Linked DNA regions of Rattus norvegicus. The protein of the gene in region 1 interacts with the protein of each later gene in a pairwise test. Links are inferred from orthologs where the notes say so. Each region holds a gene or a part of one and is shown in the gene's direction. Other genes may lie near its edges.

Region 1 (6,056 bases):
TATTATGATTCAAAACAGTAGCAAAAATTATAGTTATGAAGTAGCAATGGAAATAATTTTATGGTTGGAGGTCACGATATGAGAAACTATATTAAAGGATTGCAGCAATGAGAAGGTTTAGAACCACTATTTCAGAGTATCCTCTTTGTATGGAATTTTGTGAAGACCTGATGTAGATGCTACCTCTTTAGAGATTTCCAATATGTTTATTGGGAAGCAAGCAGGGCATTGGTTTCCAGATACCTTTAATCCAAACCTTTTTGAGATACAATTCCCTCTGTAAATGTAAATTTTTTAATGCTTTGAGCTTTGATCACTCTGGGTAAGTGCTCTGCCACTGAGTTTATTATACAATATTGCCTTTCGAATTTACATCTGAACAGACAACACTATTCTGAGTCCGTTTGACAGACCTATTACAGAAAAATGGACACCATTTAAGGACCCTAAAACAAAGTCCAATTAGCACAGTTTGCAACATGCTCTACCCCACAGCCTGAGTCAAGCCTCTGAGACTGCAGCATTTAGCCAACAGTAATTTCAACACTTCATGGCTAATGTTATAACAGAAGCCTAGCCAGACCTAAGAGAACTAGTATAAAATGTAGGCTCTTAAAGTGACCTTGAGCAGGGACTTAAAATGCTTTGTCTCTAGGTGTGGTGCTAATCCTAGCACTCAGGGAGCATAGCAGGCAGAACTTTGTGAGTTTCTAGGACAGCTTGATCTATATAGCGAGTTCCAAGTCAGGCAGCACTAGAAAGCAAGACCTTATCAAACATAGCAAACTCCAAACAAGTAAATAATTGAAATCACAATTGTGTTTGTTTTTGAATGATCTAAGCATCGAAAATCCTAATGAACAAAGACAAAATCTAACTTTCTAAAGCATTAGCCCATGTAGGAGCACGTGGTACTTTGCAGAAAGTGGGGCAGGGCTGAGTGGGAGTTTACCAATCCGCCTAAAGCCAAACCTCCTTGCTACAATCCCCTCCTGAGGATCCAAGCTGGTGATGTCAGAAGGCGGGGCATACTTGGTCTCAAAGCCTGTGATGGCGGAGAATGGTTAAGATGGGTTTTAGTTGGATCTGAGGTAGAAGCCAGCATAGTCAAAGACTAACAGCCAGGGCTACACGGAGAAACCCTGACTGGGCTGGGTGGAATGGAATGGGGCACTGGGGAGAAGATTAAGAAAAGGATGGGTGGTGTCAGGCTTCCAGGTTTGAATCCGCAATAAGCACACAGTATTGATGGATGGAGCCATAGATTATTTACCCTTTACCTGGGCATGGTGGCCCGTGCCATTAGTCCCAGTCTTGGAGAGACAAAGACAGGCAGAACTCTTGAATTCAAGGCCAATTTGATACACCTAGAGAATTCGGGGCCTGCCAAAGCCACACATGAGACATTGTCTCTAACAAACAATAGTACATACTTTTTTCTTTTAATTAGCCTTTTCCGTACTGCCCTATATTTCCCAGATCTCTGAGTATAATGTTCTTTCTCTGAGTAATTATGAGGACCAAGCTATTACATACGAGGGAAGAACACATTGTTTGGATTATTATAAACCTTCTACTGGAATGGAGAGGGGAGGGATACTAGGCACATAACAAATTAGTGGTTTGGGCGTGAGATAAATATCTCCTAATTCACAGTTTACCCTTCTTTCTCTCTTCCACTCGCAAGTCCTCAGAGATCCTAAAATAGTCATACATGTTCATAAGGGAGTGTATGAAAAAAAATCCAGACTGCCAAAGTTTAAGGGCCAATCATAGTTTCTGTACTAGGAAGGAGGCTGACACGAATCTCTAGACCGAATGACATAATTTCGGACCCTCAGGGTATTTGGCTCCTAAGCTTTTCGGTTGCATCTCGGGAGTTGTGACCTGCCGCAAGGCATGAAGGGACTCGTAGTTTTTCCCACTCCCGCCTCCAAAGCCGCCTTGGCCTCTTTTCCCAGCAAGCTCCGCGCCAGCGTTTGCTGTTGATTGGCTGCCGCAGGAGAGGGTGGTCCAGCTGGCAGCAGTTACCCAGGTTTCCGGTGCTCGGCCAGAGTCGGGGACGCGGTCGGACGTCCGCGGTGAAGTATGTCTTTGGGCTGTACACGGGACGAGCTCTTCAGAGGGTCCATGACCCAGGACGCGTTAGCCGCGGAGGAACAACTAATTCTGTGGACGGGGTGGGGAGAGTTGTGTGCTGCCGTGCTGCGCATGCGTACTTCGGGTCTAGAGGGCGCGTGGGGTGTGGGTGTCTTCTGTGTACGCGCGCGCGCGCGCGGGAATCCCACGTGGGACCTGGTGGGGCGGGGGGCCGGTCGGGACTGGAGCATCCCGCCACGTCAGTCTGCGGCTCTGAGCCAATCCCGCGCTCCCGCTGCCGAGAGGGAGCCGTGTGGTGCTGAGAAGTGGCATTCAGGAGAAGGGAGGCCTCTTCCTTCCTTCACTCTGTGCTGGTGCAGCTTCTCGGAAACCTTGCCCGGGACCGTGAAGTCTCAGGCGAAGGCCGACCAGTTTGTTTGAAGCTTAGAGCTTCAGATTTGGAGATTTCTCATCTAGGTTGTGAAGAATTTTGAAGTCTAGAAAATAGCAGCGGTGTCCGTAAAGGATCTACCCCTTTTCTGGCCTTGCAGATCACAATGAAGAACCAAGACAAAAAGAATGGGCCTGCCAAACACTCCAACCCGAAGAACAGCCCTGGGCAACGGGAAGCAGGACCGGAGGGAGCTCATGGACGGCCCAGACAGACAGCTCCTGGTGCGGAAGCTGAAGGTTCCACAAGCCAGGCTCCTGGGAAGACCGAGGGTGTGTGCCAGCTCTGCTTTTCCAGTGGGCAGAGGGAGGAGTTTCTGGTACTTGCATCTATCTGAGGCCAGTATTTACCCAGGAAGGAGGAACTATAGAATGAAACAATGCCCATTCTGTGATCCTCATGTTTCCTAGGGAGGTGATGAAGCTTTCCACTCTTAGCCCTGGAACGGAACCTTGGGGGCATGCTCTGACTGGTTTAAACCAAATGACAATCAAATGAGGCGCCCCATAAGCAAAGTCATATTCCCACTTGCCAGTGCCCGGTGATTAATTGTCCTTCATAAGACAGAGCGTCTGCTACACGTCAGTCGTCCCTCTTGTAGGGGTGCTTTACACAGTTGTCTTTGATGGTCATAACAAGTATGTTTGGGTGTTAGAAATAATTGTTTCGTCTTATAAAAACGTTTTATACGACTTAGGGTTTAAAAAAATTAAATTGAGGCCAGGCATAGTGGCCCTCACCTTTGTTCTCAGAACCCAGAAGTCAGAGGCAGGTAGATCTGAGTTTGAGGTCATCCTCATCCTCATAGTGAGTTCCCAGACAGCCAAGGCCCTGTAGAGAGAGCCTGTCTCAACTGAATAAATAAATGGAACGTTTAACCCACACAAGTGGTGTTTGTCTGGGCTTAAAGAAGAAGAAAACCCAAGGGAGCGGTGTAACCACCTAACGTTCACTGTCTTCATCTTGTAGGCGCTCGAGCTAAAGCATCTCAGTCTGGGGCCCTCTGTGATGTCTCTGAGGAGCTGAGCCGACAGTTGGAAGACATTCTGAGTACATACTGTGTGGACAACAATCAGGGAGGCCCAGGTGAGGAGGGAGCTCAGGGGGAGCCCACTGAGCCTGAAGACACAGAGAAGTCCCGAACCTATGCAGCCAGGAATGGGGAGCCTGAACCGGGCATTCCAGTCGTCAATGGCGAGAAAGAGACCTCTAAGGGGGAGCCTGGCACAGAAGAGATCCGAGCAAGTGACGAGGTTGGAGACCGAGACCTTCGAAGGCCACAGGAAAAGAAGAAAGCCAAGGGTCTAGGTGAGGGGGAGCTCCTGCTGACGGGAGGGAGTGAACACTTGCCATCTCATGGGCTAGCCTGCTCTGTCTGGACACAAGAGAATCTGCTTTTCAAGACAGTACATCCCCCCAGTTTAGTCAAAGATGGGGTCATCCCATTGAGCTGTTCAGATCACTCACTTGTGCAAGGCCTCCTGGCCTTGGGAGCCAAGTGGAGGCAGGAATCCAACTAGCTTTCTCACTGGGAATATGGAAAACCGGAGGGAGGCCTAAGTGCTCGACAACACCACTTTCAACCTGCTGTTTGACTTTGGGCATGTTTATTCTCCACTCCTAGAGAGGGTCTTAGTTTCCCTGTTTGTACAGCAATAGAATTGGGCTACACCAAGGTTGAAATATCAACATGGACCAGGTAAGCCACAGACCTCTTCAGAATCAAGAAAGGGCCTTCTTGATCTGAAAACCTGACTCCTACCTGGTTAGTCCCCCAGTCGCATCTGACCAGCTGAATAATTGGTAACCAAAATAATAGAAAGTAAGCAGAGGCCTCCATTGGTTGGATTTGCCATCTCCGTGTTACCTTTTGGGCCTCCCAGGGCTGACAGCTCAGAACCTGGTCTGTGCTGAGTACAGTGGAACCCAAGGGAGACAGCTGTAAGGCTTCCCGGCTGAGGTAAAGCAAGGCAGTGGCAACCTGGCACCATGGCGTACACCTTTAACCTCAGTACCTGAGAAGCAGGAGCAAGTGCATCTCCTGAGTACCAGACCAGCCAGCTGCATAATGAAACCTTATCACAAACAAAGGACAGGAGTGATGGGACAATGTGAAAATACGAACTTAGAACCTAATGCAAACCAAATATGGTAGTGTATGCCTCTAATGGGGAACTAGGAGGAACAGAAGCAGGAAGATGCTGAGTTCAAAGCCAGCTTGGGCTACATAGCAATACCCTCTCTTTGTGTGTGTGTGTGTGTGTGTGTGTGTGTGCGCGTGTGTGCGCGTGCGCGTGTGTGCGTGTGTGCGCGTGTGTGCGCGTGCGTGCGCGTGCGCTACTGTAACCATGTCATTGGCCCTCCGCCCTCATTTTGTTGTGTCTTAAAGACAGACTTCTTGCTTTTTTTCCCCCCTAAAGACACAGGGTCACATATGAAGGAGACAAGCTTTTTTTTTTTTTTTTTTTTTTTTTTTTTTTTGGTTCTTTTTTCGGAGCTGGGGACCGAACCCAGGGCCTTGCGCTTCCTAGGTAAGCGCTCTACCACTGAGCTAAATCCCCAACCCCCAAGCATTTTTTTTTAAAGCTTTATTTATTTATTCCATGTATGTGAGTACACTGTCACTGTCTTAGGACACACCAGAAGAGGGCATCAGATCTCTTTACAGATGGTTGTGAGCCACCATGTGGTTGCTGGGAATTGAACTCAGGACCTCTGGAAGAGCAGTCAGTGCTCTTAACCACTGAGTCATCTGTCCAGGCTGTAATACATCCTCTTTATAGTCTTATCAGACATCCAGATTGATGTCCCATCCTTGCAATTTTGATTCCTTATCTTTGCAATAAATATGTATGTGCACCTAACTTCTGGGATGTCAAGTCCTCTGGTATCTACTGAGGAGTATATAGCCAGATTATACAACAGTTACATTTTAGTCCAAAAAAATTGAATGCTTGAAATATAAGCAATGAAAAAATGCAGACTTTGCTGCAACAGGTGAGCCCAGGTTCCTTGCTAGGCAGTTTTGGCCTAATACATAGGACTCCTCACTCAGGCTCTGGTCCCATCTCCCCTCCATACCATAACAGGGCATCTCGTCCACCCTGAAGTCTCAGGCACCCACTCAGCAGGATGCCACAGCTACAGAGCAATGAGCATTCCTGGACAGCCCAGTGAGGCTACTGTTTTTTTGTTTTGTTTTGTTTTAAAGATGTATTTATTTATTATGTGTAAGTACACTGTAGCTGTCTTCAGACACACCAGAAGAGGGCATGATCTCATTACAGATGGTTGTGAGCCACCATGTGGTTGCTGGGAATTGAACTCAGGACCTCTGGAAGAGCAGTCGGTGCTCTTAACAGCTGAGCCATCTCTCCAGCCCAAGACATGCATGTTAAATGTAACTGTAGTTATGTCTGTTGACAGGAGTTTGGCTACTTCCTCCAGGGACATCAGACAGTAGCCCTAGGTTTATCAATAGACTTGCCTTTCTCCTGTTGATAATGTCTTCAGATAGGTTTTTGTC
Region 2 (6,016 bases), on another chromosome or scaffold:
GAATCCTTTATTTTAAGTCTGAGTTTGCTGATGTCCTCCAAAGCTCTGAGCATCTCCTACTGCCCGTGTCTCACTGGTGCCCCTGAGGCTTTAGTAACAGGGAGGAGCTGTAAGCGGGTACAGTCTTGGACATCTTGGACCATCATGAAGTTTTCTTTCTGCTTCACTTTCTGTTCTTCCTGCTCACTTTCATCTGGTGGCTCAGCTGGTAAACGCATGTGCTACCAAGCCTGAGTATATGAGCATGACGCCTAAGAACCAAAACGTAGGAGAGAGCAGAGTTCTACACTTTGTCCTCTGACACCTACAGTGAACCATTCATGTGCACTTCCCCTGATACCAACAGTCAAAGTAAGTAAATAGCAGGCATGATGGCGCACACCTTTAATCACATGCGATACTTAAGAGGCAAAGGTAGGCAGATCTCTGAGTTCGAGCCCAGCCTGGTCTACAGAGTGAGTTCCATGATAACCAAGGCTACACCAAGAAACAGTCTCAAAAAATAAATAAATAAAAAAATAAAAACAAAAAACAAAAACACCCAAAAGTAATAGAGCAACAGTGATGGTTACATTTCTTGACAGGAAAAATACATGGTGTATTTCAGCTTAGGCAAGAATAAAGGGTGTGACTAACTTTCCCAGAATAATGAAGTTTCAGGATAAGATGAGATGACCATGCTTCACCCAGTCACTGTCAGAACTGCACTAAGCAGAACTAGCTTCCTGAATTACTCCACATGACTCATCTGAGCACCGGGCAAACCTGGATGGAGGACTGTGGGCTGGATTAAAATTGACGGCCATGTTAAAGTAGCAAAGTGACATGAGTCAAAAGAATGCAAATGACAGGCTTTAAGAACTAGCAATCAATCAGCTGAACATGCTGAGAAACAGTTATGTTCCTAAAGTAGGCCCAGCAGCATCCCCCAATTCACATGCTTGCTGTCACACCTGTGTGTGTGTATAATATATAATATATAATGTGTAATGTGTAATATGTACTATGCAGTATGTAGTATGTAATATGTAATATAATACATATAATATATAATAAATTAATATGTAATTATATAATGTATATAATAACATACATGTATCAGTGCATGTGTGATTTCTTTATTGTCTGTATTTTGTGCCAAGTATATATACACGTATGTATATTATATATAACTTGTAAATAGTACATGTATCAATGTATTGTGATTTCTATACTGTATGTGTGTATTCTGTTACATATGTGTGTATATGTGTATATATACATACATATACATATATATGCATTATGGTATATAACGTCATTTTCTAAGTGAAATCAACAGGGTCAGACTGAGATTCTGTCATCAATTATGGTTGGAATGTGGCTGAAAAGGAAAGAATTTGGAATCAGTTACCGAGGATCCGGGTTGGTTCCCACCACTAGAAGCTACTCCCTTGTTCCCAATACAGCCTAATCCACCTAACTGGCAGTTTTCCAAGGACTCAGAGAACTGTGAGGAAGAGAGAGGTTTAAATGGTGCGAATACAGTGACAGAGGAGTGAGCCTAACCAATTCCCAGCTGGAAGTTAACTAAGGTGAATTCAAAGGGCCTTTGCCTGGAGTTCTTTCCCTCCCAACCCTGGTTTCCTCTGGGAAGAGGGCTGAGGCCCAGAGTTAGGTATCCCAGTCTCTGTGGCGCTCCTGGTGGCCCACCAGCTCTCTGATTGGGCAGTGTCCTCCCGCGCTTCTCTCGCGCCCCTGGGTGCGGCGGGCCGCAGCTAGCCAGGATGGGCGGATCTTGGAGGCACTGGACTGGGCACTGACCGCGCCAGTACTAGGGAGTTCCGGCTGGAGGGAAGCAGACCGGTGCGGAGGCCGCGTCTCCATGGCAACCCATTGGGGACCAGAGGCCAACGGTGCCGGCCGGGCGGGGTGCTGCGGGCGGGACCCACAGCCCAGGCCAGGGCAGACCTCTCCAGACAGCAGTACAGGTAACAGGCGGCTGACTCCCTGAACCCAGGACCTGTCCCTCCCCTAGGCAGCAGCTGGCTTCCACTGCCTCCAGCAGACCCTGGGAGTGTGCCTCAGTTTCCCTCTTTTGTCTGAACTTTTTGATCTAGTTTTGTCTCCTGTCACCTCCAGTGTCTGCCCCACTGCTGCAATTTCCTGTGGTGCTAAACGGTCTGAATGGAGATTCCTCCTATCCCCTTTCCCCTTCCTTCCTTTCCTTCCCCTTCTTCATATTCATCCTGTTCACCTCCCCCTCTCCCACTCTCTTCTTCTCTCTCCCTTTACCCTCTCCTCTCTTTCCTCCTCCTCTTCATCCTCTTCAACACCTTCTCTTTTTCCTTCCCTACCCCTCTCCTTCTCTTTCTCAGGTACTTAATTAGTTCATATACTTCTTAGTAAGGTTAGGTCCAATTTACCACTTTGTTCATTTATCCTTATAAGTTTATCCACTAATGGGACAACAGTGTGTCTGTGTTGTAGGGGTGGTGTGAGGGGGTATGGGGAGGTGTAGGGGGTGATATGGGGAGGGTTGGGAGGGATGTAGGTGCCAGGGAGGGAGAGGGCATCTGATTGCCCTGGAGCTAGAGTTATAGGTGGTTTTGAGCTCCCCGACCAGTGCTGGGGTCCTCTCTCTGCACTCTAAGCTCAATGACTGCTGGACCAGTTGTCCAGCTCCTGTTCTTGGACTTTTGTACTAAATCTCCTGCTTTATCTACTCCTTTAAAAGGTCAAGAAAAGCCAACAAAAGAATATACTCCAAGGCAGAGGATAGGGAGTCGCTAAGATGTAAACTCCAAGGGCTTCTAGACAACACTTCTCAGAGCAAGAATTAGGAACTGAGCACTCTGAAAAGGCCACTGACACCTAGCTGCCTTTGAGTTAAGGAGGAATGCTTTCTGGTTTCAGCCAGTACCAAATATTGCAAACAAATGCTGAGCCAGTATTCCTACTTGTGTGGAAACTTCAAGCCAAAGAAACCTCCCCACCCCCCACCCCCCACCCCCACACCCTACCCACACCCCCACCCACACCCACACCCCCACCGTGGGCCTTCTGTACTTGTCAAAGCTAGAGCTTCCATGCTCACAAAACCTATACTAAGTGGCTGCCAACAGCAAAAATATCATATCTTATATTAATATGTGTAAGCATTTTATAATTCTAAATAATTTCCCTCCTCACAGATTAAATATCAGTAAGTACCAAGTCAGATGTAAACATTTCTTGGCATGGAGAACCAAGCCCATACTACGGCAGGGTAAGTGCTGCAGAAATTCTATTTAATTAGCTCATCTTTATGCCCAGAAGTCCTGGAGGAAGCGTGAGTTCTGAAATGAATTGTTAAAAATAGGATGTGCTGATTGGGGGAGGGGGTAAATAGACAGAAAATCTCAAGTAAGTTATGAAGTCTCTATTCGTGTGAATCTTTCTGATGTTGAGTCTATACCCTGGAAGACAGCGCTTCCCGACTGATACGTCAGCATCACAGGTTGGGGACCCACGCTGGCCTCCTCAGCCCTTAACATGTCCACAGCACAGCACTTCCTGGCCTTTTCTTGCTGGGGTGAGTGGTTTCTCTGCTCCTACATAAGACTGGCCACATTTTCTCAACATATAAACACAGCCCCACGATGCATATATTTCCATAGCACAGCAAGAATTGGATATTTTAGAATGGGGTTTGGAGAACATTCACCATAGGAAATGGGCCAAATTCCGCTTCACAATTATTTGTCCTGCCTCTTCTCCTGCATCAGCACCATGAAGAGTTCACTATCCTTCTGCCTCTGCTGGACTCACACTGAGGCAGCAGAGGCACTCACATCAGAGCCCAGTCCTGAGTGTGGCTGCTTTTGACCCAATCACAACTCTAGCGTCTCACTTCCAGTGACTCTGCTTCCCCTGTGACTCTGACATCAGGTAAAGGAAAGGAGAGAAGCATGAGTAACTAAGACTACGTTTCGAGTCCGATCTCCTGGCCATAGCCCTTATTCTCAACAAGAAAACAGAATACATTATAGTAGAGCCAGAACCCCTGAAACACACACACGCGCACACACACACACACACACACACACACACGCACATGCACAGGCACACACACACACGCACGCACACATGCACGCACGCACATGCACACACACACGCACATGTACACACATGCACATGCACAGGCACACACACACACACGCACACACACACACATGCACAGGCACACACACACGCACGCACACGCACACACATGCACACCAAGTGCACAGCCTTAAGTAACATGCAAACCCATCTCTATGTCAGAGTGAGTGGTTGCTCCGGTTCTAGCTCCAGCATTGTGACTGTTTTCCATCCTGGTCTTAGTGAGGGGGAAACAAGGGCAGGAAAGACTTTCCTTCTAGAAGTCTGCCTAGAGATGTCGGGCTCCCCTGTGTTCATTAACATTGGCCAGAACTCAGTCACACGGAGTCGTGAAAAAAAAGGCTCGGAAATGTGCTCTCCAGCTGGGTAGCACATGCCTAGCTATAGATCAGGAATTCCATACATGGTTGACGCTGGACTCAGGACTGCTCAGCTTGCCCGATCACCTGACGCTTGGGTGAAGCTCTGAAGAGGATGGTGGAAACCATCTTCTAATCTCTAATCTATCTTCTGTGGATTCACTCTGACAACGCTGGTGGCCTCAAATGCACAGTCAGCAGTGAACTGTGAGGGTGGACGGTCTCCTTCACGGTCAGCAGTAAACTGTGAGGGTGGACCGTCTCCTTCACCACAGGACACTGAGGGCTGAGCTGTCGGTGCTCCGGCTCATTAGGTTAACTCAGTGCATTTCCAATCTTAGTTTTTTCAATATGAAATGGCCCTGCCCAGCCATAGCCAACGCCACTGAGAGGTGAAGGGTGGAGAGTAACCATTGCTGCATCTCGGCAACTCTCCCCCACTGAGCCTCAGACAGGTGGAGACGGGAACTAGAATTTACATCAGGGTAGAAAAGTGATTAGTGAAGGAGGCAGCGGTTGAATTGAAATACATCTGGCTCCAATGCCTGGATTTTTTTTCTACACTGGAAATTGATCACGTGGAGGTGAGAGGGGCAGCCTGATTAGAGTTCACAGCACAGCGAGGTCAGACTAAGCGTGTGTTCAGCCCCTAAAGTGACTGTGACACTGGGGTACAGTAAGACAGACTGGAAGACTCAAGCTTGTGCTTGTGTAGCATATCGTCTCAGCCCTGCAAAGGCTGTGGCTGGTTCTCTGCATTCCCCCTTTGAAAACAAAGTACCTTGTACTGAGTGTTAAGCCCTGAAGAGCCAAGGTTATTTAAAAACAGAACTGGTCCTTAAAGAACTTAGAACTTAGTGGAGAGAGCTGGTCTTGTTCGGGTACGAGAGAGTTACAGTTAGTTCCAGATGTTAATGAGCACACCACAGTGTGCTCTGAAGGACTGGTAGGCATGTGGCCAGATGTTCTGTGGCCAGATGTTCTGTACCATGGTCTCCAGAGCTCAGACCCCACCGACTCTCGTGTTAAGAAGCCAGTAAATTTCGGGTGGTTCTCCAGGGACTTGTTAGCAAGTTTATAAACATGTTCCTCTGATGTTTCTTGAAGCAGCTTGCTTTCAACGAATATTTAGCACCTACTGTGAGCTTATGTAGTGCTAAAACCACAAGCATACAGATATATATATACATATATACATATACATATATATGTGAAAAAAGGTGTGTACACAATATAAAAATGTATTTGGTTCTATGCATTACCAAAAACAATAGAAAGCAAAATCTAGTTATGTTGGTGCCCAGCCAGTTTTCTACTCCCACAGGCAGCCACTGTGAATTCTTTTGGCAGGGACCCTTTCCCAAGGCTTTTGATGTCTAACTCAGTATTTTCAAATAATGTGTTTTATTGTCGCTTTTTGAGTTTTCAATTTTAGGCATTATCTATTGACTTTTACACTGGATCTCCCTCTCCCTCTTTCCCTCCCCCTCTCCCCCTCCCCCTCTTTCTCCCTCTCCCCACCTCTGTCACACACA
Region 3 (6,190 bases), on another chromosome or scaffold:
GAACAAACACCAATACGATCAGCTATGGAGATCTGAGGGGCCGATGGAATCGAGGCACTACACTGGGAACAGGCCTCTCGCCCTGAAAAGCAGCAATGAGGTGATTTGGGAGAGCCAGCAGGGGTAATATCCATCTCCCAGGAGCTGTTTTAAGTTTTGCTTCCCTTTCCTTTGATACCCAGCTTACTCTGCACCGTGGTAAAAACCCAACAGCACCTTCAGATTACTATATTTTGGAGGTATGGTCTCTTATCCATTTAGGCTAGTTGGGAGTTGAGACGAAATAAAGCACAATTAACGGCTGAGCCATTCCAGTCAGCTCCAATCCTAGCCCTGCCTATTGTATTTAAGGTGGAAAGGCATCTAAGAAAGCAAATTTCATAACGCCACCATGCACGGGGCCTTTTGTTTGTTCAGTTACACTGTGTGTCTTCTGATACTTCCTTCATTTCTTCGTCCTCATCTGAAGTGGGGACAAACGCATCCACCCTACTACGTGACAGTGAGGGTTAATAAAAAGAACCTTATAAGAAAGAGGTAAATGGTGCTATTGGTATCAACAGCAACACCACCCTTCAGTTCCAAGAAGAATGAGAGCCTCGAGAAACCTTTCTAGAAAAATATGTGTGCTCAGCGGTTTGCATCTGGGAAATAATGGGACGCAGACACCTAAGAAACGTTTTGCAGGTACCATAATTAATTTTCCCAGGCAGCCTTAAATATGTGTCTTGCTTCAAAGTTTGTTATTCCCAGAGAATTTACTCATGCCTACATGAATACACATACTTTCCTGGGAGCCTGTTGGAAAGCAAGTATTTTTTCCTACGTTAGCTGGACGCCTCTATACATAGAGTTGACTAGGGACCAGAGCCCCAAGATGTGGACTACCAAACCACTGGATAGTTATCAGGAAACCTCAACACTGAACGATGCTAATGGCTGTGACAAAAAAGAACATGGGGCTCCACAATGTAATTAGATTCAGATTGTTCCAATACAAGCTTCCATTCAGTTTTAATTTTCCTCCGGAATCGGGAATCTAACGCTTAAACACTACTCAGGAACCCAGGAGTGTGGCTTTAGAAAAGAGATCCCCGGAAAGGGCCAACTAGGTGAGACGGTATTTTGCGACCCAAACCCGTTTTCACATCACTTGCCAAATTTGACGGGTGCGTTCACCTCCACCGACGCCTCGGGATCAATGTCGTCTGACAGAATGGCCATCTCCTGCAGAGCAGCGTCATACTTGACCTGCAGGCTGTCTAGGCCACGCGTCCCGCTCCCCACGCCGCTCACCGCCACTAGCACGCGGTCGCCGTCCGGGTGCGCGAGGGGATCCAGGGGCCTCACGGACAGGTGGCATGGGAGCCGCGCCCTCAGCCGCCCAAACGGGCTCACCCTCAGCGTCCACTCCCTCAGATCCCCGCGTGCCAGGCCGGCCCCAGGGTTCGCGGGCACCGAGCCCCGCCGCTCGGCCCCACCGGAGCCGCATGTCCGGGTCCCCAGAGCTCCGAACAAGGCGCCCGCCCGCACCCGGGACGCGCAAGGAGGGAGGCGGCCGAACATGCTCTCCCTCGGAACCCTTCAGCCTCGGCTCGCGGGTCCTGAGACAGCCCGAAACACGAGCTGCCTCGGGCCAGTCAGAAAGGCGACCGTAAGCACGGTTCCGCTGAGGAAGAACGAGCCAAGTCCCAGCACAGCACTTAACGACTTAAATCTCAGCCTCAAAACGATGCCGGTAGGAAAATTAAAACGTCAAAGCGTCCTGTTGAAGCCCTGACCCTGACTAGCCACCTATTTCCGCCCCTTTGGCGGAGGCCGTCGGGAGATGTAGTTTTAAAGGAGCCAAACATTGAGGGGTTCTGGTAGCTTTGAAACTACATATCCCATGAGACAATGCGACGAATAGGCAGAGTGACAAGAGCCGATTGGTAGAGAAGTCCCTGTTGCGTTCCTGTTGCTTCAAGCCCATTGGCCAAGAGATCAGAGAAAGAAAAAAAAAAAACCTTAATCTAACTGACCAATGGAAAGGTAATATTTCAGCTGTGTGGTTACTTTGGATACGGAGAACGCGACTCTGGAGAGGGTGGAGTTTTGAAGTGAGACCCCAGAGACCAAAACACACGGAGAAAAATAAGAATCAGGACAAAAAGAAAGGGTAAGAAGCACCATGTTTATAGATGGGAATTAGATTCAAAGTTAGGAATACCCTCTTTAGATGGCTAGAACCAAACATCACCAAACTAATGTGGGTCCCTTGGAATAGAGAATCCCCCTAGCAAGAGAGGATAGACACATTCTGTTGTTTCCTCCCTTCTCAGCCCTTTAAGGAAACTACCTCTTAGAAAATACTAGATTGGAAAAGTGTTAGAATCCTGGCTCTTTCTTAATTGTAAGTGACCTTAGGTCAGTCATTGGTTGCCTTAGGGTCTTAACTGTTTGCATGTAAAATGACGTTTTTCTTGCATCGTGTTAAAGGTTTCTTTTTTCTTTTTTCCCACAAGTATCAAATGAAACAATGGACAACAAAGATGTACGGTCTACAAAACGATTAAAGTATTTTAGGAATGACATATTTCTAAGTTGCTAAGAGATTTGGAGACAATTGAACTTGTTTAGAGAGCAATCTAGAGCTCTTTCCCTGCAACTGATCCTTGGCCTTAGTGATAAAATAAAATCTCTCTCTCTCTCTCTCTCTCTCTCTCTCTCTCTCTCTCTCTCTCTCTCTCCCTCTCTTCCTCCTCTCTAAGATAATAAGACATGTTAGGAGATGTCAGATTATTTTCATGGCCTTAGTTTTGATATATAGACTGTGCTAAATAACTCTAGAAGTTAACTCTTTTCTGTTTATTATTCAGTAGGCAGTAAAGATAATGGAAAATGTGGGCTGTGGACATGATTTCATCCATACTTGCCTACTCTTCTCCCCCTTTCTCCACAGTCTTCAAATAATTCCCTAATTCCCTCACATACAGATTTAACTAATTCTAAGTCTAATGTGGTGGTGTTCACTTGTAGTTTTTCGGAATTTGGGAAGTCTAAGCAGGAGGATCTCAGATCTGAGGTCCACCTGGACTATATACTGAGAGCTCTGTCTCAAATAGAGTACAAAATAAATAAATAAAATGATACCTTTAAAGATTGGAACTCTCAGCCAAACATGTGACCCTCTCAATTCTTGGAACCTAGAATGATAGAGCGATAGGTATAAAGTCCTTGCCAGTGTCCGTGTTATTCTCTTAGTGACGACTATGGTAGTGGTGATGGCACTGTGGCAGCCCAGCCCTTCTGTCAGCCGTCTGAGAAACCCCCTGTCCTTAAGGACTTCCACTGAGGAAAAACCTACTCTTGACTCTGCAGGAAAAAAAATGTTGGGAGAAGCTAGTGTGAAAGAGGGTTGATTCAAAAGAGATTCTAAACACAGGTTTAAGCAGCACCGGGGTTGGTAGGGGTGACTGCTCACTCAGGGAGAGAAAGAGTCATATTCAAGAGCACAGGTGTAAACCTCTCAGGCTCTCTTGAGCTTGCCCTTAAGCGCCTTGGCAGAAGTCTTACAGATTCATTCTTTTAATGACTCTCAAGTTATGCCTCAAAGGATTTCTAGGAAACTTCTTTAAAACCTTTTCCCTCCCCCTTTTCAATAAGTGTGATTATAGGATAGCTCTAGAGATGTCTTGGATTGGATGGCAATGCTAAAATAAAACCATGTGTCACAAGAATTATAAAAGGGATTAAGACATGTCCTTTACTGGAAATAGGGTTTTTGGTAAGATTTCTAGAAAATTCCTGGTGTATAGCTGGGAAAGAAGAAAGGCCACATATGTTTAGGTCTTACATGTGATTCCTTGCTCCTTCAACAACCTAAGTTGGAAATATCACTATAAAAGAGATAGTGACTTTCTATTGGTGACCATCATAGATAATATTGTTTCTGCTGGTGACAAGCACTGCCAGGCTCTAGAATGAAGGCTTCTTTCCTTCCCAGGTCTCCATCGTTTCCTGTGTTTGCCTCCTGCCTCAGGAGGCTATAACACAGATCTCATGATAAGCAGGAGCCCACTCAGTGAGTCACACCATTGGCTTGGGTTCCATGTGGACGTATATACTCAGATTAGTCTTCAAATTAGCTTTTTATGAAAACACAGAGACATACTTTTTGACGTTTGAAAAAGGCACGAGCAAGTTGAAACTGCACTCTGATTTGCTGTGGAAGTGCTGTATATATTTGGACTAAATATGCACCCTTAATAAATTACCCTGTTTCTATAGTAATTTTTCCTTTTCTGAGAAAGATTAAATGAATAGAATTGGCCACTGAGCCATAATGATATCTGTGACATAGTCATTATTCCATCACTTCCGAATAAAGAAACTAAAACTTGTTGAAGAATTACCTTCCTGGTTTTACGAGGTTGGAACCTGGAAATCTGATGGAGAGTAAGAATGGTGTAAGACATTAACGTTACTAACGCCCGACAACCTGACAAGTATCAGATTCGTCTACATTTAAGTGTCTGATAGAGTTTTCACAGCCTGTTCCCACGCATTGTCTCACTGTTAAGGACTTATTCTTCTCCCTGCACGACAGCTGAAGAAACAGATTGAGAAACATAAGATGAAGCTGTTATGGCCCCTAAAACCGGTTTTTGAGGGATGAAGGCGTCAAATTACAAACGTACGAGTTTTTTGTTTGTTTGTTTGTTTGTTTGTTTAATAGGACTGCTTATTATTAGCTATTTCTCTGCTGGGTGAGGCCAATTTAAGCCAGATTAGAGTATATTAAATGCAGGTTTATTGGAAAGCTGCTCTTGGGCGGGCAAGTTCATTGGCCCCAAGAAAGGAGGCCAGGGAAGTCCATGGGAAGGGAGAGAGAGAAGAAGGGGGAGAGAGAAAGAAAGAGCACAGAAGAGAGAGAGAAGGACAGCAAGGAAACCTAAATGCCAGGATTATATAGGGAGGAGCCCTTAGGGGAAGGATAGCACAGCCCCTGGGCTGGCAAGTTCAGGGTTGGAGGCAGGGTACGCCAGGTGGGGACTGAGGGATTCTGGGAGAACCTGGAGGCCAGGTCTGCTTTGATATGTAAAATATCAAATGTAAAATATAAGGCCTCAGTCCCTTGTCCTGAGGTCTGAAACCACACACTTAGAGTTTGAGAGCTTATTACTCCCCAATAAGAGAGTAATACTTAAATAAATTTTATATTTGTAATATCATATAGCAATTAAAAAATAATATCCTGAAATAATCCATAATATAATATTGGGTAAAATAGCACATACTAACCTTTATGCATAGTCCGATCTCAATTCTGTAGCAACAATAATAAATTTAGTATAGAATCATATCACAGAAACAATTCTGGAAGGACGTACACCACTTTATAAATGACGGTTATCTCCGAGCAGTGAGGTGGGACGATTACATCTTTTGCGTGTTATCAGCAGTGATCACGTTTGGCATCTTTACTAGGGAGAAACAGTAAGGACTTCTTCCTGTGTATTGACTCCCAAGGCTGTCTCAGAAATTCAGGGAACTTCTTAGCATACAAATATAAGTGCAAGTGTGTTGAGTATTTCCTACCAAATCAGTGTGGGAGCTGGTGACTTTTATTATTGCTTTACGTTCAATTCACAGACAGCAGAGGGCATAAGAGTTTTCCGAAGAAAAAGTAGAGGATTAAGTAGCTCAGTTAAAGGGATGAAGGCTATGAGACCGTGCTCACTTCTGAATTACAATCAACGTTAAAACATACCGTCTGCAGTTTCTGCTATTCTCACGAGACAGTGATACACTCAAACCACTAATAGCTATCTCTCCTGAGAAGTATAGAGTGAATATGTAGGTAGACCCATTGAAATCACCATGGGCAACCATCCCTGTGATGTTTCACAGAGCTCGCTGGCTAACTTGAAACTTCAGGGGAAGCATTTGGATCTCCCAGGCAACCACAAAGGTGGCCGCAGATTTTTCAGATGCCCCTTTGAAGATGTTTAACTCCCAATGTACTTTTTATTTGAGAGATACTATATTTTAAATGATTTTTTTCCTATAAGTATTGGGAGGACCAGACGGTCGCTTTGAAATGTTACTGTGGTGATATCTCACAGTAATCGGGCCTCTAAATCCTGAACCATTTTTCATTCCTGGATGAACTTTGATTGTATTATCTTTTCTGTATAAGTTGGTGGAT

The links.
Region 2: the proteins of Txlna (region 1) and Deup1 interact in binary tests that used the Homo sapiens proteins (3 or more experiments, as listed by UniProt). The two-hybrid records come from large-scale screens. The link is inferred for Rattus norvegicus from reciprocal best matches to the Homo sapiens genes TXLNA and DEUP1.
Region 3: the proteins of Txlna (region 1) and Ccdc146 interact in binary tests that used the Homo sapiens proteins (3 or more experiments, as listed by UniProt). The link is inferred for Rattus norvegicus from reciprocal best matches to the Homo sapiens genes TXLNA and CCDC146.

What each region holds. Positions count from the first base shown.
Region 1 is NC_086023.1:147,265,285-147,271,340, reverse strand, and holds the start of Txlna (alpha-taxilin), read left to right. Parts: upstream 1-2,067; 5' UTR 2,068-2,180; intron 2,181-2,630; 5' UTR 2,631-2,636; coding exon 2,637-2,802; intron 2,803-3,499; coding exon 3,500-3,838; intron 3,839-6,056. UniProt on the Homo sapiens protein: May be involved in intracellular vesicle traffic and potentially in calcium-dependent exocytosis in neuroendocrine cells.
Region 2 is NC_086026.1:20,719,455-20,725,470, reverse strand, and holds the start of Deup1 (deuterosome assembly protein 1), read left to right. Parts: upstream 1-1,885; 5' UTR 1,886-1,970; intron 1,971-3,173; 5' UTR 3,174-3,218; coding exon 3,219-3,247; intron 3,248-6,016. UniProt on the Homo sapiens protein: Key structural component of the deuterosome, a structure that promotes de novo centriole amplification in multiciliated cells.
Region 3 is NC_086022.1:14,553,351-14,559,540, forward strand, and holds the start of Ccdc146 (coiled-coil domain-containing protein 146), read left to right. Parts: upstream 1-2,059; 5' UTR 2,060-2,158; intron 2,159-4,588; exon of another isoform or gene 4,589-4,675; intron 4,676-6,190. Other genes in the region: protein FAM185A, read right to left, coding at 1,158-1,566. UniProt on the Homo sapiens protein: Essential for sperm flagellum biogenesis and male fertility.